Linked DNA regions of Saccharomyces cerevisiae S288C. The protein of the gene in region 1 interacts with the protein of each later gene in a biochemical or structural test. Each region holds a gene or a part of one and is shown in the gene's direction. Other genes may lie near its edges.

Region 1 (9,280 bases):
ACAAAAGGACGTATCTTAACGTCATGCTTATATTCGAGTGCAAATAGGTTACATATGTACATCAAGGCTGATAATTCGATGGAGTCCACCTGTATTTTGGGGAAAGTGGTGGCAAGAGTATGGGATAGGCCACCCACACCAGCCCCTGGGGTCACGATAAGAATTTTCTCTTTCATGTCCCCGGCACTAATCACATGATGGTTGATTCTACTAATGATAAAATTTTGTAAAGGATCTCTTTCCACACTATAGTAAGAGCTGAAATCACGACACAAATGTGCTAATGCTTCATGGACCACACTTTGGCTGCCTCGAGACGAAACTATTGGAAATACGAAGTCAGGATTCAATTGAATAAGGTGACCATCTTTAATCTTATAGCCGTGTTCCGCGCATATCTTTTCAATTTCCTCTGTAAATTCTTCATCGTGTTCGTTGGAATGAATCAATTTCCCTAAAGTGAACTCAATTATCTTGTCAATAACTCTTGCGTTTTCTCGGATACCCTCATTATTTTTCATTAATTTGGTGAAGTAGCCTAATTTTTGCAACTGATCTTCTGAAATTCCATTTAATTGTCTTGCTCTCCGAAATAAAAGGCCATTATAGCCTTCTCCTCTTGCTCGATACTCATGTAAACGGATTAAATTCCCCGTAAGATCAGGAAGAGTGGGAATCTGATAATTAATTTTAGAAAGATTCGATTGATCGGCAGATATTGATTTCTCAACATCAACCAATTTTAAGGAGGGCGATAAAACGCTGACTTTTTGGGCCAGATTTGATTTTCTTGATAATAGCTTTTCAACATATGATACAAACCACCTCTGCAACGGCTTATTTTGCCTTAGCAGTGTCATCAGGACTACCACAAGGGCTAGAATTATATTTGATGCCAGTGAGCTAACCATTGGCGCTCCTCAACTTCGTATATCAATATTTTTACCTCTTCTATTTCCTGAAAAATTTGTTAATTGTACAGCATCGTTTACGTTTTTTTTTTTTTACGGGTCTTCTTACCTAACCCCGAAAAGTATTGTGGATCTTAAAAGGGTCTCAATTATTTGAAGTTCGATAAAAACCAACTACTTTGTTATTTTAAAACTGTATTATACAAACGCTGGTAAACTTCCAGAGACGATATGCGTCTAAAAGAATTGTTACCTAATTTTTTGATTGTTCATCAAGAGGTCCCTGAGGATCCTATTGCATTCAAGTCCACCGATAAACGAGAGAATGAAAATAAAGAGATCACCATCCCTGAGCTAATAGATACTAAAGTTCCTGAATTAGCTGACGGTGCTACTGACACTTTATATGGTTTACTGGTCAATGGCCATTTACAAACTGCATATGGTTCCTTTAGACACTTTGACAATATATACAAAGTTCAATATAAAAGAATGATAATCAAATACCCACATGGGGGAGAAGGGACTGTGGATTTTGCTGTAAATGGTAGAAGTACCAAAAGAAGAAAAGTGGAAAAAGAATACGTGCCGACAAGTCAACCGGTATTTAACGGAAACTTGAAACGAAGATATTCGTACTATTCCCCTGATGATCCTAAATTGAACTCAGACGATGCTAAGCCTATGCTTATTATTCTCCATGGATTAACAGGGGGTTCGAGGGAAAGCTACGTGAGGGCAATTGTTCATGAAATCACCACGAAGTATGACTTTGAAGCATGCGTGTTTAATGCTAGAGGATGTTGTTATTCTGCAATTACAACGCCGCTATTATACAACGGTGGTTGGACCAATGATATAAGATATTGTGTTAATGACTTGAGGAAAAGATTTCCGAATAGAAAGTTTTATATGATGGGATTTTCGTTAGGCGCATCTATAATGACAAATTACTTGGGAGAAGAGTCAGATCGTACTAAAATCGAATGTGCTATTTCCGTGAGTAATCCATTTGACCTGTACAACTCTGCATATTTTATTAACAGTACACCAATGGGGTCACGATTTTATTCACCTGCTTTGGGTCACAACTTACTACGCATGGTTCGAAACCATCTCTCTACTCTGGAAGAAAACCCTGATTTCAAAGATGTTATCGAGAAGCATTTAAAAAAGATTCGCACTGTGAGGCAATTTGATAACTTGTTGACAGGCCCAATGTTTGGATATAAAAATGCAGAGGAGTATTACAAGAATGCTTCATCATATAAAAGAATACCCGGGATCAGAACTCCTTTTATAGCTTTGCATGCTCAGGATGACCCAATTGTCGGAGGTGATCTTCCTATAGACCAAATAAAATCCAATCCATACACTTTGCTTCTAGAAACTTCGACGGGGGGGCATGTTGGATGGTTCAAAGACAGATCCGGCAGAAGGTGGTACGCAGAACCCTTATGCAGATTTTTGAAAATATTTCACGACGAAATTACTGTAAAGGGCTTAAAACCTGACTTGGAAAATGTTCAACTCCCAGATCCTAATTGCGAACCCATAGCCACAACCTTTCGCGCGAATTAGTTTGTAAATAAGTCAACTTTTTAGATGTGTAACCTGATAATTTTTTTTTTTGATGTTCGACATCATTATTTCTGAATGAAAACGTGAAAAGCTTCGCCAAACTTAAAATGGAAAATTTCGAATGGAACAAAATATAATCGATGCGATGAATTAAAACCTTGGAAGAAGAGGGTTAATTGTTAAAATTACATATATAATTGGCAGACAAGAATAAAAAATGCATGAAGTAGTAACGATATCGGTTTCGCAGAGAGCAAACCATTTGACTACTCAATTCTTCAATATACAAGAGGGCTATTTACAATTGTCTAAAGAACAACAAGTCAATGACTCCAAAATTTTTCTGAATTCGGTTGTAGATAAAGTTTCAAAAACAATTTCATATGCACCACGTGCCTTACTTTGGGATGCCCGTACAGGTAATGGTTCACTAGGAACATATCAATATTCAGAAAGCCAAGACTATCATTTCGGCAATGAAGACAAATTCAAGGAGCAAACAGTTATAAAGACTCATCCAAGAATACCTAAATCCGAATATCAGAGTTCTCTAGATGCAGGAGCACCGCTGCCTTGTTTGAACAGAGAAAATACGATGTATTGGTCTGACTATTCTAAACTTATCTATGGTCCTTCAAGTTTCAATATTTTGAGAAATTGGTACCATGACACTGAAAATCCAAACCAACCTGACTTTCAAAACTTGGGGGAGCGAAAGTTTGACAGGTATTCCATTGGTTATGACGAATTTACCGAAAATTACTTGCAAGAGTTTTTTGATGGAAATTTGCATAGAGAATTGGAAAAATGTGACACCCTGCAAGGCTTCAATCTTGTAAGTGATATGGAGAGTGGATGGGGCGGGTTTTCTAGTGCTCTACTGGTGGAATTAAGGAATGAATTACCTAAAAAGGCGGTCTTTTCATGGGGACACAATGAAGATGATCCATTCACAGATGACTTCCCTATGAAAAGACTTTCAAAGAAATGGCTCCCGATCATTTCGAACAAATTAAGAAGCACAATAAATATGATGCAAGAATCCGATCTTTACTTCCCATTGTATGCTGCTCCTGGACTAACTAATTGGGAAACTGCTGGAAAGAGCTGTAGGATATTTGATTCTATAAATGCGACAATTTCCCAAAGCAATCTTGAACAAAGAAAGACAATGGATTATCTAACAACTGCCATTACCTTAGGATATTCGTCGCGAAATATGGTCACTGGCATGGTTATCGGTGACACCGATTACTCATTCTGTTCTCGAGTACTTCCTTTCAAGAATAGCCACAAACCAAATTCTACTCACATATTTTCAAAAAGTTTCATTGATAGAGGAAATCAAACGCATAAACATCATTCCGAACCTGATTCACGGAGTAAGATGATTGAAATGTATACACACAGGTATTTTCCATCTGATACGATACCGACAGAATTTTCCAATGATCGTGAATTTGTTTTGGAATTAGAATCATCTGAAAAAAATCGAGATATATTCAAACATTGGAATGAGTTTGTGGTAAGGTACTTCAAAAATGATAGTGACAGAGAAGAATTGAAAAATGAACTTTCCGATTACGCCTCAGCGTACGAATCTGGGTGGTATGAAGACGAAGATTCTGGTGATGACGATATGTGATAAGCAGTTTGCAGCTACGTATTTCCTTTCTCCAGTTGAGGCAAACAGGACTTCTTCCATCTTTTTCGAAGTTTTTACTTCGCCATTTGATCTATATCTACGTAAATTACATTAATTAGAAAGTCATGCTATATCACTCTTGCCCTTGAAAGCATCCACAGCTGTCCGTCAAAAACTTAATTTCTCAAGTGGAGGAGAAAATTTTACCTCTTGAACTTAAAGAATGTAAATCTTCATTTGCGTCTTTAAAGTCATCGTTTTGATTTTCACCAGTTGCTGTTTTTTGCAAAAAGGATTTTCTATTTCCAATGCTACTGCGATCAGAAAGACTAGATATTGGTGCAAGTCGCAGAGAATTTGATCTAGCAACGTCGATTTTATCCAAGCCAACAATATTCTCCTCATCAGGATCTTTGATTTTATTCGCGTCATCTGAAAAAGTTTTCAATTCATTTAATAAAAATGTGATATTAGTGACACGAGATTTCACTGATTGAGAACCCCGAAAAGAGCCATCTCTTTTCATATTATTTGGAATATTCTTTTCATTCATAGTTTTTTTCAAATCGCTAACTTTTGGTGCGGTGGCTCTCATTGTTTTCCATGATCTTGCGTCCTCAGCAACAAACCTATAGATACTACCTTTTGCATTAGCATCAGAAATTACAGTATCGTTAGCTTCTTCTATATTGTCATCTATGCTGTTGTCGAATTTATTTTGCTTGGCCGCAAAATCGTTGTTATCATACACTGCTTTCCCATTTGAAAAAATAGCATTAGGGACATTCTTGTACTCCAGAGGTGTAGTACGAACTTGAGAGTCCGACAGTAAATCAGAAGTAGAAATTTGATTATCACGAGACAATAAAATCTGCGCCCCCTTCTTGCTGTATTTATTTGATCCAGTATCAGAATAGTATGACAATAAATCTTCCTTGGTAAACAAAGTTCTAGTTTGCATTTTGTACTCAGTTTGTGACTTGTAGTCATTGAGTTTTAAAAAGTTAGCTGCTTGTAAATGGTACGAATAATAGGTATACTCAGGCTCAGAAACGTTCTCTAGAAAATAATTCAAACCGGATAATAGTGCCATTTTTCCATACTTGTCAAAGATCTCTTCCATCATTTCTTTTTGCACACCATGTGAATCCAGTTCACGTAATAATGAGTACAGTTTTGAAAAGAGAATGCTGCTTGGAACCTCAGTTTCAACAATGTTAAATAAACATATAATGTGGTTTTTCATGTAATGCGCCAAGTCGATGAATAATTCCAAACTGATACTTGGCTGCGTAATATGTTCAACGAGGAAATCAATATCTTCCACAACTGCATTCTTTTCAACATCCTTGACGGTGTCACTTTTCAATTTCAATAGTAGTTCATATAACATATCTGAGGTCTGTTCAGCGTAATAAGTTTTATGGTTAAGGTCTGTCATGGTGATACAAGACTGTGCCACAACTTCTTTATTAGTTGCATTTTTCAACTGGAAATTTAAAAGCTTTCTCATTATATCAAGAACACTCAACCCCACTATACTGACATCTGAAACAAGTAATGACGACATCAATTTCAAGGAAACAATTGGATTTACATTTTTATCCTTGTCGCTTAGTTGTCTGACCAAAAGAAGTATAACAATATATCGTAACTGAACAGGTATACCATTGCATACAAACTCTAGCAGTTCCTTATTAGGTGTACTTTGCAGACAGCGCAACAGAGTACGAATAGACAAATTCAATTTGTCTGTCTCAGTTGTGTTAAAATAGGATTGCAATGCTTTTACTGAAAGGTCATGATTATCTTCGGCGGCCTTATCTAACCCAATTGTACGAGTTTGTGTTCGACTTAGCCTTTTTCCTAAATTGCTCTCCAGAGCTGCTTCCAGCGACAAAGTTTTAAATTTCGGATTTCTCTCTTGGAACTTTGAAATAGTATAGGCAACAGACTTGGAAACAAAGTGGTTTAGTTGTGGGTTGCTTGAAACACTATTTGTGTTTGATATATCAATACAGCATTTCAGAAGCATGTCATCATTATGAATTCTTTCAGTAACTATTTTAAAAAAAAGATCAACAAAGTTCTGGTATAACTGGACGAATTCCATGTCACCGTTACACAAGACGTCGTCCAAGTTCTGGCATATACTACTAAATGCCAGTTCTATTAATTCAACAACAGATACATCATTGTTAAAATTGTTGTTGGAAAGAACTTTGTTCATAATGTACAAAAAATCTTTAACAAATACATTCAAATTCTCCTTACAATGCAACACAATTTTGTTCATTAAATCCAATGTAACGGCTATGTTCCCTATGCGCCGATGGTTCAAGTCGGAAGTGGAACGCTTAATCAGGTAAGTGCTAACTTTCTCCAATTTACTACGCCTCGAGTTAACGTAATATAGCAAATATGAAGTTTCCGAAGATTTAGGCTTCTTATCTGTGGTCCTTCCCGTAGGATAACATTGATTGACCAGTTTCTGATGTTTTGGTGTGAACATCATCCGCATAGACAACTGCATCGCAAACCACTTTCAGAACAATTGAAAATGAACGAAAGATGAATAATAGAGCGAATGATCTGGGTTCAATATACAGTCTGCCACTGAATTAATACTACTCCAATAGCGGGGTTGCTCACAATACTTTCAATTTATCCTGGCTGCCTGGCTTTTTCAACAAAACCATTACCTTCCTAGTAGTTCGAACAAAATTTTCTTCCTCTTCCTTTGGCCGGGGTTGAAGTTTAATGAAAAATTAATGCTATGAACTATTATGACAAAAAAGCATATGCGACTCAGGAAGATAGTAAAGAAAAAAAGCAAAACATTTCTAAGAGGACTATACTAGCATTTCAAGATGCCCCCCGTACCAATATACGTGAAAGGCGGTGTATGGACCAATGTGGAGGATCAGATTCTTAAAGCGGCTGTACAAAAATACGGAACTCATCAGTGGAGCAAAGTAGCATCCCTTTTGCAGAAAAAGACTGCCAGGCAGAGTGAATTAAGGTGGAATGAATATTTAAATCCAAAGTTGAATTTTACAGAGTTCTCGAAGGAGGAGGATGCCCAACTTCTAGATCTTGCAAGAGAGCTGCCTAATCAGTGGAGGACCATAGCTGATATGATGGCCAGGCCTGCACAGGTCTGCGTCGAAAGATATAATAGGCTATTAGAAAGTGAAGACAGTGGAGGGGCTGCGTTAAGTACAGGAGTTACTGACTTGAAAGCCGGGGATATTAATCCTAACGCTGAAACTCAAATGGCTAGACCAGATAATGGTGATTTGGAAGATGAGGAAAAGGAAATGCTTGCTGAAGCTAGGGCTCGTCTGTTAAATACCCAAGGTAAGAAGGCTACAAGAAAGATTAGAGAGCGGATGCTCGAAGAATCAAAACGCATTGCTGAACTACAAAAGAGGCGTGAGCTAAAGCAAGCAGGAATTAATGTTGCCATTAAGAAACCGAAAAAAAAATACGGCACCGACATTGATTACAATGAAGATATAGTATATGAACAAGCTCCCATGCCAGGTATATATGACACGTCCACTGAAGACCGCCAGATAAAAAAGAAGTTTGAGCAGTTTGAGAGAAAAGTCAACAGAAAAGGTTTGGATGGTAATAAGGATAAGCCAAGTAAAAAAAATAAGGACAAAAAAAGAAAACACGATGAGAACGAACACGTTGAGAAAGCAGCACTGGGTGAATCTACTACATTGACGGATGAGTATAAAAAACCAAAACTTATACTATCTGCACCAGGAACGAAACAGGGAAAAGTCACCTATAAAAAAAAGCTAGAAAGCAAAAGACAAAAACTAATCGAGGCACAAGCAACTGGCACTGTGTTGACACCAAAAGAACTACTACCCCACGACTCCGGCCAAGAAGATAATGAACGCAGTAATATAAAGAGTGGTAAACAGCTAAAATCACGCATACGAAAATTTTTAGTGCAAATGTTCGCATCTTTGCCTAGTCCCAAGAACGATTTCGAAATTGTATTAAGTGAAGACGAGAAAGAAGAAGATGCAGAGATAGCGGAATACGAGAAAGAATTTGAAAATGAAAGAGCGATGAATGAAGAGGACAACTTCATAGAACCACCATCTCAAAATGATGCGCCACGCGTCTCATTAGTAGCCGTTCCATTAGCTTACTCAACGCTACCCATACCAGAATTCAAAAACAATCCGCAGTCCGCGATTGACAATAAGTACAACTTGCTAGTCGCGAACGCCATAAACAAAGAACCTCACATGGTACCAGAAGATACGGTAGATTTTCTCAAAGAGGTGGAGTCGCGTATGCAGCATATAACCCAAGGGCGCACTTCCATGAAAATACAATTCAAAACAGCAATGCCCCCAACTGAGGTTCTTCTGGAATCGATCCAATCAAAAGTGGAGTCTATTGAACAGTTACAGCGTAAACTACAACATGTGCAACCACTGGAACAACAGAATAACGAGATGTGCAGTACCCTCTGCCATCACAGCCTGCCCGCTTTGATTGAAGGGCAACGCAAGTACTACGCTGATTACTACGCCTACCGACAAGAGATACGATCGCTTGAGGGTCGTAGAAAGCGTCTTCAAGCCATGCTAAATTCTTCTTCTTCCATATAGCATTAGTATAGCATTAATATAACTTTTATGAACTAGGACATAGAGGACTTGTGACAACGCATTACCCGGAGTTAGAACGTTTTCTTGCCAAGTTGGCCACATCGGCAAACCAGCGATGGTAATAAGATGTAGTACTGACAAAACATGGTGGATAGGCCAGAAGAGCGTGCATTGGCTGGCGAAAAGATCGAGGACAATGATTCCAAAATTATATATACATTTGATACTATCTTTATTGTTGTTGCCGCTAATTTTGGCGCAGGATTATTATGCAATACTAGAGATAGACAAAGATGCCACTGAGAAGGAAATCAAATCAGCGTACAGACAATTGTCTAAGAAGTACCATCCGGATAAAAATGCTGGGAGCGAAGAAGCCCATCAAAAATTCATTGAAGTCGGCGAGGCATACGATGTATTGAGCGATCCTGAAAAGAAAAAGATTTATGACCAGTTTGGTGCAGATGCTGTAAAGAATGGCGGTGGCGGTGGCGGTCCAG
Region 2 (6,742 bases), on another chromosome or scaffold:
CCCAGTCTGTATCAAAATTGGTGTCTCCAGAATCCAGTGGGTAATCGTTTGCCACTAACTGTTGTTCGGATAGAACCAAATCGTTAATAGTAATTTTCTTCTTCTTTTGTAACTCTTTCAATTTATTTATTTTCTCCATTTTGGACAATCCAACATTAATAAATGAATTGTAGGGCGAAAAGAGCGTCATCTTGGAACCAGGTGCCATCACGGGAAATGTATGAAACGTGGAGGCAATTTCTCCAGGAATATATTTGAAGTTATCATCACTGATTTCATTAAAGGTATTTTTTCCGTTCTCAAAATCATCTGGTTGTAAACCTGGAATGAACAGAACTATCATTTTCTGTAAACTTGACCTGTTACAAATATCAATCCATTTGGGAGAGTTGTTTTCAGCCTGCAACAAGTATTGAGTCATGTCTCTTACATCCTTTATACCAATACCTTTTTCAACCACAGACTTTAGCAATGTGCATGTCATAGGCTTTGCCTTTTTTTTCTTCTTATTCTTATTCACTTCCGATACCACATTTGTATGATCATCCTCTTGTACAGAAGTCTTGGATAACCTTCTTTTCTTTGATCCCAAAGCCAAATCACTCACGAAGTTAGTGTCAGGCCCTTCTACTTGCATGTTTGCCTGAGTATAGTCTATTATTGTTTTCTTCCTCAGTCATCCTTGGTATTGCCATCGAGCAAAAATCTTCCCTCCATTTCTATTGTGTCCTCGCGCCACTTATAAAATACTAACAATAAAATAATAGTGAACTACAACAATAAAATATACAAAAATATGTTTATACGCAAGGGTTTTGTGGAGTGCACGTTGGCGAAGCAGAGGACTTAAGTAGGCGTCTGATTTCCGTGCTGCTTAACTTCTCGCTCCAGCCGTCTTCCTCCCTTCCTCCAAGTACATTAACCACATGTACTGCCAATGGGCTCATGCCTTTTTCAATCCTAGTCTTATTCACAGTCTCTGCCCCACTGACGGTTTCTCTACTCACAACTAAACATTCTATCTCGGGTACTTTCCCTGTGGGGCCGCACACGTCCCTTAAGGGAACTAGTTCTACGGAGAGATCCGGTTTTAACAACTTGATGAATTGATGTACGTGCCTGCATCGTGTATCATAAGGTTCAATCAACTCTTTGTATTTCTTGTTTTGCAAGAGCTCATCGCACGTAATTCCACAAATTAACCTTTGTGACGTGATGAATGTAGAGACGCTCAACAATATTTTATGTCCATCGTGAATGTGGTCGAACGTTCCGCCCAATGCGGTGACATGAAATTTGTTAGCATCTTTGGGACCTTCTATCTCTTCCATTATATTATCGTGTAATGCATAATGTTCTATACTATGGTATTGTCCTTGTCCCAACTCTAGCTTCCAAGTTTCAAAAGTGGATTCCTGTGGCAATAAAACCACTTTCCATTGCAAATTACTCTCGACGAAATGAATATTGTTGAATATGATGTTGATTCCGCTGTTGATCATTCCATAGCCCAAAAGGACATCCCTGGTAATACTGTACATCTTCCCTAGCGCAGAATCCAACTGGAATGAGGTTTTGAATTCAGGTACAATCACGATGTCTAGTTGACTTTGACATTCTCTTAAGAACGGAATAGTTTGCCCTATAATCCTCTGCAAAGTAGCACTAGGCGGTGTATAAGGAAGAACAATCAAAACTCTGGAATTTTCCTCAACCATCTTACACTTCTTTACTTTAGATTTTTAGGTTTAATCACGTCTCTTTTTATGACGGTCCTTATTTTTATCTTTTTCCATTACGTACTCTTGAAAAATTATATTACACTGATATTTATTTTGGCATTGTGAGTAAGAAACCTAAAAAGGAATAAAAAGGCTACAAACCAGCATGTCTACCGCTACCATACAGGATGAAGACATTAAATTTCAGAGAGAAAACTGGGAAATGATAAGGTCACACGTTTCACCCATAATATCCAATTTAACAATGGACAACTTACAGGAATCGCACAGAGACTTATTTCAAGTCAATATACTTATTGGCCGCAACATAATTTGTAAAAATGTTGTGGATTTTACTCTGAACAAACAGAATGGCAGGCTAATCCCTGCTTTATCCGCTTTGATTGCCTTGCTAAATTCTGATATTCCAGATATTGGAGAAACTTTAGCAAAAGAACTAATGTTAATGTTCGTGCAGCAATTCAATCGCAAAGATTACGTGTCCTGCGGAAATATCCTTCAATGTCTGTCCATTTTATTTCTTTATGATGTAATTCATGAAATCGTGATCTTACAGATTCTATTGCTACTCCTTGAAAAGAATTCTTTACGACTGGTCATTGCCGTGATGAAAATATGTGGCTGGAAACTTGCACTTGTCAGTAAGAAAACCCATGATATGATTTGGGAGAAGTTAAGATATATTTTGCAAACACAGGAGTTATCTAGTACACTACGTGAGTCGTTAGAGACTCTGTTTGAAATAAGGCAAAAAGATTATAAATCTGGGTCTCAAGGTCTGTTTATATTGGACCCAACTAGTTACACAGTTCATACGCACTCCTATATTGTTAGTGATGAGGATGAAGCCAACAAAGAACTGGGAAATTTTGAAAAGTGTGAAAATTTCAATGAACTAACCATGGCGTTTGATACGCTACGACAGAAGCTGCTGATAAATAATACGTCCGACACAAATGAAGGTAGTAACAGTCAATTACAAATCTATGACATGACATCTACCAATGATGTCGAGTTTAAAAAGAAGATTTATTTGGTTCTGAAAAGTTCATTATCAGGTGACGAAGCGGCTCACAAATTGCTAAAATTAAAGATTGCGAACAATTTGAAAAAAAGCGTGGTAGATATAATCATCAAATCTAGTTTGCAGGAATCTACATTCTCTAAATTTTATTCTATTTTGTCCGAACGTATGATAACGTTCCACAGGAGTTGGCAGACAGCTTACAATGAAACTTTTGAGCAGAATTATACACAAGATATCGAAGATTATGAAACTGACCAACTGCGAATCTTAGGTAAGTTTTGGGGACACTTAATATCTTATGAATTTCTTCCAATGGACTGTCTTAAGATAATTAAGTTAACTGAGGAAGAATCGTGTCCTCAAGGAAGAATTTTCATCAAATTTTTATTTCAAGAGCTCGTAAATGAGCTCGGATTAGATGAGCTGCAATTAAGGCTAAACTCCAGCAAGCTTGACGGAATGTTTCCGCTGGAAGGAGACGCCGAACATATAAGATACTCCATAAATTTCTTTACTGCCATAGGATTGGGCCTGCTCACAGAGGACATGAGAAGCCGGTTGACAATTATTCAAGAAGTTGAGGATGCAGAGGAAGAAGAAAAAAAATTGAGAGAAGAGGAGGAACTTGAAAAGTTACGGAAGAAGGCCAGAGAGTCACAACCAACCCAAGGGCCAAAAATTCACGAATCCAGGTTATTTTTACAGAAGGACACCAGAGAAAATAGTAGATCAAGATCGCCATTCACAGTGGAAACAAGAAAACGTGCTAGATCCAGAACTCCACCAAGAGGATCGAGAAACCATCGTAACAGATCCAGGACTCCGCCTGCAAGAAGGCAACGGCATAGATGAAGAGCCCGGCCAAACAAACATTACACATGTAATCGTACATATTTACATAGAACCGTACACGCTTTTAGCCAAAAAAAAAAGAAAGGTAGAATATAAAATAAAAACTCGTATTTCGTATTAAGACAAATATACAGAAATACAAATGAGATCATAAACGAACTAAAATAGGAAAATGAAAAAAAAAAAAAAAGATTAGCGAAGGCAAACCAGAAAGCAGTCCTTTGATATAACAGAGAAAAAGAAGATTATCAAAGCCTTAATTTAAAGTTAAAAATATTGGGTATCGTTTTTTAAATCAAGATTTTTTTTGTTTTTTTTTACAATTGAGTAGACTTATTCATTGGATAGAATACCCCAGTATTTTTCAACACCGTAAGCACCGTCGGCCTTCCAGTAGTCGTTGAAGGCAGTGAATAAGAAGGTATCAGCACCACAGGAGCTGGTAATGGCGGAAACAGCGTCCTTTTGATTTTCCTTAGATGGAACAGCAACACCGTAAGTCTCACCCTTTGATGGCCAACCAGACTCAGTGATAACAACATTCTTCTTACCATCACAAGCAGTCCAGACTCTTTGGATTTGTTCTAGTAACCATTTACCGGAGTCTTGGGCAACTGTGTTCTTGTCAAAGTAAGCATGGGCATTAACAGCCATGTAGTCGGAGTAGTCACACAATTCAGGGTTGTTGATCACAGCAATAAAAGTATCAACAGAAACAACTGGACCAGTGTAACCGGCAGCCTTCAAGGCAGATCTACCAGAGTCAATGTATTGACCGACTTGGGATGGGGTAGCTTGGTTACCGTTAACCAATTCGTTACCAATGGAAACAGTGGTGACATCGTCCCAAGAACCGTAAGATTCAACAGCAGACTTGATGGTGTTGACACCGTCTTGGATTTGGTCAACGTAGTAAATACCTAAAAAGACTTTTTGGTTCGAAGCCTTAGCCTTGAAAACATTTTCAACTTGGTTACAGTCGGTACCGTACAATCTAATGACTGGGAAGTCAGTCAATTGAGCTAAATCGGAAGCAACTTCCGAAGCGGATTTACAAGCACCGCTGGACTCGTATGGGGTATAAGTGATACCTCTGACACCAGAGGCAAAGCTGCTGACGTCTTCGCCGGAAGAACTAGAGGAAGAAGCTTGGGAGGAAGAGGAAGATTGAGTAGATGTAGCAGCAGAGCTGGAGGCTGGAGATGCGGCAGCAGAAACTTGTGAGTTGTTCTCAGAAGAGGAAGCAGCAGCGGTAGCTACAGAAGCAGCAGACGATGTTGTACTGGTAGCGGCAGCTGGAGCGGAGTTGACAACAGCATTTTCTTCCAAAGCAGCAACTGGAGTTGAAGCGGCACCATTAACAATGATAGTGGTTTGTTTTTGAACAGTGGTAGTGACCACAGCACGCTTGTCCTTGTGTTCGTGGTTAGCGGGAGCAGCAAGAGTAGCAGCAGATAAAAGAGAGGCAGAAGCAATTAGGTTAGAGAGACGCATATTTTTCTAGTTTGCTTTTCGGTATGGCTTGCTAGTATATAAACGATTGTAGATGTAAAAGAATGACTTAGTTGGATTTAGTTAGATATCTAGCTGGACCTTTGTGTAAACACTATTAAAAGAATAGAATAAGGGCTAAAAGAACTACTAAACAGAAAACAATTATGACAGAAGATAAAGAATACATATCTATTAGTTTTATAAAACAGAGATCTTCTCCTCGAGGAATGGGAGAAAACAGAAAAAAAAAAACAAAAACAACGGTGCCGTTTTTGAAACAACACCACAAGAGAAAATTTCTGAAAAAAATGCGCGTGAAAAGGAATCATGTGCCTATTTTCCTCATTTGGAGAGGCTAAACGAAAAGGGAAAAGAGGTGCGTTGCGCGTGTTTCTAGGGAGAAGATCCTATTGCAGCAGGGTGTCGCGCGAAAAGCGGTGCCTACAAATTACAAAACCCTCTGGGAAATGACCGTGCAGGGTCGTTTGTGGATGCATCTCGATTAGGCCGGGCTAGGCATCTTGATTCTTTCCCAAAATGGAGTTAACGAGCTCGATTGGGCGTTAATTGATGGATTTGGTTACACTGATACGAATTGAGCCCGTTTATCATTCATGCAGCGGCTTTATGGAGGGTGTGGAAGACGTTAGCGATGTTATGCTTTCCACTTGCTCTACTATCTTCCATCAAACCCACCTAATAAAGCTGAAGGTTTTGCAGGGGCAGAAGTCGTGGCGCAATAAGTTCAATAAATACTTATAATATTACTTACTAGTTTAATCATGTATGTAAAAACTCGTTGCGGTATGCTGTCGTACTGGCACACATTTTTTTTTTTCATTTTTATTTGCTTTTTTCTTTGGCACCGGGGAAGAATTTTTCCCCACTCTATATATCTTGCTGCGTGTGCAGACTGGCCAGCTGCTCACACAATGAAACGCAATGGAATGTTTAGTCGTTTGTTATCATAAAGATCTCATTCAGTGCCTTGGAGTCCATCAACGCGGCCCTCTTTTGTTTTATCCATTTGGAGCGCACCGATAGTCTTGTGTTTACCGCATCGGGGATATTGGATGCAGATTCACTAGATTTTAATTTTGACGTCTTTTTCGTTTCTTTGGTCTTTTCCGCCCTTTTTTCCTTCTTCAATCTCTTCTCTTCCTTTTTATGTTTCTTATGCTCCTTTTTGTCCTTCTTGTCTTTTTTCTTGTCTTTCTTATGCTTTTTGTGCTTCTTGTGCTTCTTTTTATCACTGTCTTTATCCTCTTTGTCGTCATCATCTTCATCTTCGCTATCGTCTCCTTCCCTCTTTCGTTTCTTCGCGTTGGAGTAATTTCTTAACTTGTGAGTCTTTGGATCCCACGTGCTTGCTAAAACTTCACCCTTCACAAAATGGATACCCCATTTTCCGTCAATAATCTTCTGCTTTCTCTGCGTGTCCAATTCCTCTGATATTTTGCTTTCCTTTCCGTTCAGCCTACCAAGAATTCGCTGGAAGACATCCAACCCTGCGCATTCACCATTATCAAACTCGTCTTTTTTGTCTTTACGTTTTAATTTAGCACCGAGCCCAACGTTGTCGTCCTTAATTGACACTTTGATATGCGAAGTGTTCGAATTCATGGGG
Region 3 (5,031 bases), on another chromosome or scaffold:
GGAAGTGACACTTCGAATGACTTACCAGCGGAATGCGTTATCAGCTAAACAAAAATTGAACCAAAAGCTATAGTAGTCATATATATATATATACACCCTTTTTATTGTTACAAAAAGATTTCACCATCAGAAATCTAAAGAAGCCGGTTCATCATCATCTTCACGTTCTCTTTTCACTGAACCCAGTTCATTTTTCAAAAGAGAACTCACATATGCTTGGAACTGATTGATAAAAGGTTGTAAAGCTGTTAATGAAACATCATTATTTTTCTCCATTTCTGTTTGAAGATCAATTAGCTTAGGTGCTTTTTCAGGTGCAAAGGATTCATCAATAGGCACACAGACATTCCCCGTAGCAGGATGAATACAAAAAGGGGCCTTTAACAAATGAATTGTTTGCTTTGTAACTTCCACATCCAGCTTCGGATAAAGAGTCATCAATACGAGATCTTCCTTACATTCACGTAACTTAATTATGTGAGAGTCTTGCTTGGGGCCTTTGAAGAGCGATGTAGCTATCTGATCTATATCATTCCACTTCTCTTTGCTTGACCTCCTTGGATTGTCCAGCCAATACTTCTTTAATGAATCAATCAATTGTTTATCATATAATGCAGGCAATAAAGTTTGGATAGCATGTTGGTCATCTTCCCAAGGATTTTGCTCTTCGAGCATAATGCTGACAAAGAAAGGTTTCAATTGCTCCAAAGAACGAGCAAGATGAGGGTGATAAGGCCTCTTCAAAGCCAATCGCTTGTCAGTATTTCTGTCTCTAATCACGTTGACATAATCTAAAACGTTTCTTCGTTGTACATCCGTCAAAGCCCGTGCCCGTTTGTCGCTTACCCAACAATGAGCACCACGTCTACCTGAAAATACCCAGATGAAGTCCTTATAACCAAAATCCTCTCTTAGGGCCGTGTTCGTAATTTTCATTGCCAAAGATATAAATTTCCAGCACTTAGAGCAAACTTGGGCTCCGGAGCAACACGTTCTGAAGGCATCGTAATCATCCATATCAATATCAAACACCAACTCCTTCTCTAAAGCTTTCAATTCGCTTTTTAATAGAGTATCACGTTCTCTTGGCGGTTTGTTATATATGGCACCGATTTCAAATCTGTCTGGGTTGGCTTTTTCTATTTGTGCTTTGAAATCTTGCACAGAGTTAAAAGAATTATACCTTTTGTAAGCACCTGACCTGAACGCCATAGCGAATTCTCTGTTAATCATATCCCTAGAAGGTTTGGGCGAATGATTCAGCCAGTTGAAAATGTGTTTGAATGGATAGAGCGACTTATAGTAGTACTCCATGTCTGAGGAGCTTGGCCCATTAGTCTTTACTGAATTGGTCATGATGTTTATAAAACAGTTTTTTGAGTTGCTAAAACTAATTTTTGCTAGTATTATGGCACGCTTTTCTCTTCAGCTTCAAAGTATTTTTGATTAATTTTTTATCTTTTTGGCGTTATGAAACTTTTCAACTGAAAGAAAACAATAGGTAAAAGTGGCAAAGGGCACTGACCGAGCAACTGTTTCGAAACTCACGCATCATTCACACGTAGGATATAGTAATGGTTGAACCAGCAAGGAAAAAGCAGAGGATTGATCGCGATACTCATCACACTGTGGCTGAACCAGTAACGGAAGCTAAAAATACGCTGTACGTGAGCCAGCTTAATGAAAAAATTAATATGCAACGACTGCGAGTAAACCTTTTTTTGCTCTTTGCTACGTTTGGAGAGGTACTGAAGGTTAGCATGAATTTCAAGAAACAGCGGGGCCAAGCCTTTATCACCATGAGAACCATCGACCAGGCCAGTCTGGCCCAGATTTCATTAAACGGCGAGCGATTCTTTGGTAAGCCTTTGAAAGTTGAGTTCAGCAAGAGTGAAACTAAAACACTATGACTGGCTTAACGCTCTATTCATAGCAGCACGTATATACCGAGAAGAGCTGCCATAGGGGCACATCAAAGTCAAGAGCGCAGAACCAAACCAAAATGTTTATATCCAAACAACCCGGCGTTATAGATGGTCGTCAACGGACAAATAATATCAAGGCATGTATCAATATGGAGTAGATATAGAATCTACAAAAATCTGTAGCAGAAAGAGTCTCCCGAAAAGACATACTGCAGAACGGCCGCTTATTCCTCACTTCAATTGCTTAAATAATACAAAGGGCAAACCACAGAGTACCCCATTGCCAAAAGACGTTTATTACATTTTGGAAGTGATAATTTAGTATATAAGACAGCTTACTATATGATGAATTACAGTGTAGTTCAGCGTTTATATGTGGCTTCGTTTAAAATGATATATATTTCTAGTAAAAGCAAAAATTCACAAATGATAAACAAATCAAAATAAACATCAAAAGAACCGCCAATTGATAAAAGCACAAAGTACCAGGCAGAGTTGTGAAACCGGGCCTCTTCTATTGTACCACACACAAATTTTTCTTTATTTAGGTAGAGGATGAGTCTGGAACCCACACAAACGGTCTCCGGTACGCCGCCGATGCTGCATCAAAGAACACACAAACAAGTATACCCATTGCGGATGGAAACTATCCCAATATTGGAATCCGACTCCAAGGCTACTCTACAAAGCAACGAGCCCACCCAGAAAGATGAGGAGGAGACCGAATATTTTGAGAATAAACAATCCGTGTCGAATTTGAGCCCCGATTTGAAATTCAAACGACACAAGAATAAACATATCCAGGGGTTCCCTACTCTGGGCGAAAGGCTGGATAACCTGCAAGATATAAAAAAGGCCAAGAGAGTGGAGAATTTCAATTCTTCTGCGCCAATTGCTGACGACAATCATAGTGGAGATGCGACTGCAAATGCGACTGCAAATGCGACTGCAAATGCGACTGCGAATGTTAATGCAAGTGCAATGCCCGCTCCATATATGCCTTATTACTATTACTACCATCCGATGAATGCACCAACTCCTGCAATGATACCATATCCTGGATCACCAATGCATTCGATTATGCCCAACTCCTCATTACAGCCCTTTTATTCGCAACCCACTGCTGCAGGCGGTCCCGATATGACTACTCCCCAAAATATATCTTCATCACAACAATTGCTGCCAGCTCCGCAATTGTTTCCGTACGGATCATTCCATCAACAACAACTTCAGCAACCACACTACATTCAACGAACAAGGGAAAGGAAAAAATCAATCGGAAGTCAGAGAGGTAGAAGATTGTCTATGTTAGCATCTCAAGCTAATGGGGGAAGCACTATTATATCTCCGCACAAGGATATTCCTGAAGAGGATTTTTACACCGTGGTTGGAAATGCGTCTTTTGGTAAAAATTTACAAATACGACAGCTTTTCAACTGGTGTTTAATGAGATCTCTGCATAAATTGGAGTTGAAGGCTAAAAACCAAGAGGAAGAAGGGGAACTTGAACATCTGACCAAAAAATCCAAGCTCGAATCAACAAAGGCAGAAACTGATTATGTGGATCCCAAACGTCTGGCTATGGTGATAATAAAAGAGTTTGTCGATGATCTTAAAAAAGATCATATTGCGATAGATTGGGAAGATGAGGAAAAATATGAGGATGAAGATGAGGAGAAGATTCTGGATAATACTGAAAACTACGATGACACGGAACTGCGACAACTGTTTCAGGAAAACGACGACGACGACGACGACGACGATGAGGTGGACTACTCGGAAATACAGAGGTCTAGACGTAAATTTAGTGAAAGGAGAAAAGCCCTACCGAAAGAACCAAAAAAACTATTACCTAATAGCAAAAACGTGGAAAACACAAAGAATCTTAGCATTTTAACGAGCAAGGTGAACGCGATCAAAAATGAAGTGAAAGAATGGGCAGTCACTTTAGACACTTCGAGACCAGATCTTGAATGGCAAGAATTGACTTCATTCTCATCACAACCACTGGAACCGTTGTCGGATACAGAAGAGCCAGACCTTGCGATTGCAGATGTTGAGACAAAGTTAGAAACAAAAGTCGATGAGCTAAGGTACCAGTCGCATATATTAAACTCGCACTCACTAGCCTTAAACGAAATAACAAATTCAAAAGTGAATAAATTGAACATAGAAACAATGAGAAAGATCTCAAGCGAAACGGACGATGACCACTCACAAGTGATTAATCCTCAACAGCTGTTGAAGGGATTAAGTTTATCTTTCAGTAAAAAACTGGATTTATGAAATAAAAGAAAAAATCAAAAAAAAATCGGATACTTCTGCATATGTAACATTACACAGTCATACATTTATATATACATATATATACATATTAATGTATTTGAAAAAGCAAAAGAACCATTCTATCCTTAGTTAAAGGGCGAATCAGTAGCAGCGCTACCACTATTGTTATTGTTTTCGTTTGCTGTCATGGTATCGTGGTGGTAAATAATACTTTCTTGAAGTGATAATGTTGATGACGATGCTGCTGAAGGGCTACCCATATCTAAAGATTTGAACAGCTGGAGTGGGCGTTCCAATAACCCATTTGAATGTTCATTGTATACCTGTAATCTTGTCATATGACTTTTCCAGACGGAGCTATTATCTGCTAATAAAATTATCCTGTCACGGGCAACATGTTCAATAAGCGTACACCATACGTGAGACAATTGTTCAATGCATTTATCGTAGTAGTAATTATTACTAGCTAATTCAAATCTGGGCAATTTGATAACTAATTCCGTGCAAATGTCTAAGAATTTTAATGATGCGTGCAAATTTTCCAAACGTGGTGGAATGTTATCCAGTATGAAATCCACCAAACAGTTTAAGAACTCCAGAATTTGAGGTTTCATTCTCACGAAAGCATAGTCATCTAATTTATTACTCTCATAAGACCTATTGTAAGGTATGCTCTGGTAAACGGCTTCTGATTTTTGTTTCAACATGTCCAGACACTTTTGTATACTGAAGTCTAATCCGATGACTCTCGTATGTACGCTTTGTTGTATTTCTGGATGTTTTGTCATCAAATCCACCAACAACTGCTGTAATTGGTTCT

Evidence for each region.
Region 2: the proteins of CEF1 (region 1) and CWC22 form a complex in vitro, tested with the Saccharomyces cerevisiae proteins (one study listed by BioGRID).
Region 3: the proteins of CEF1 (region 1) and MSL1 form a complex in vitro, tested with the Saccharomyces cerevisiae proteins (one study listed by BioGRID).

The regions. Positions count from the first base shown.
Region 1 is NC_001145.3:686,374-695,653, forward strand, and holds CEF1 (Cef1p), read left to right. Parts: upstream 1-7,007; coding exon 7,008-8,780; downstream 8,781-9,280. Other genes in the region: YMR209C (uncharacterized protein), read right to left, coding at 1-911; MGL2 (putative carboxylic ester hydrolase), read left to right, coding at 1,143-2,492; DML1 (Dml1p), read left to right, coding at 2,710-4,137; EFR3 (Efr3p), read right to left, coding at 4,322-6,670; SCJ1 (Scj1p), read left to right, coding at 8,977-9,280. UniProt on the Saccharomyces cerevisiae protein: Involved in pre-mRNA splicing and cell cycle control.
Region 2 is NC_001139.9:1,044,844-1,051,585, forward strand, and holds CWC22 (U2-type spliceosomal complex subunit CWC22), read left to right. Parts: upstream 1-1,887; coding exon 1,888-3,621; downstream 3,622-6,742. Other genes in the region: RNH70 (Rnh70p), read right to left, coding at 1-637; CAB4 (putative pantetheine-phosphate adenylyltransferase), read right to left, coding at 801-1,718; SCW4 (putative family 17 glucosidase), read right to left, coding at 3,955-5,115; PXR1 (telomerase inhibitor), read right to left, coding at 6,067-6,742. UniProt on the Saccharomyces cerevisiae protein: May be involved in pre-mRNA splicing.
Region 3 is NC_001141.2:372,951-377,981, forward strand, and holds MSL1 (U2 snRNP complex subunit MSL1), read left to right. Parts: upstream 1-1,574; coding exon 1,575-1,910; downstream 1,911-5,031. Other genes in the region: EGH1 (hydrolase), read left to right, coding at 1-48; DNA primase subunit PRI1, read right to left, coding at 127-1,356; MIND complex subunit DSN1, read left to right, coding at 2,481-4,211; STS1 (Sts1p), read right to left, coding at 4,337-5,031.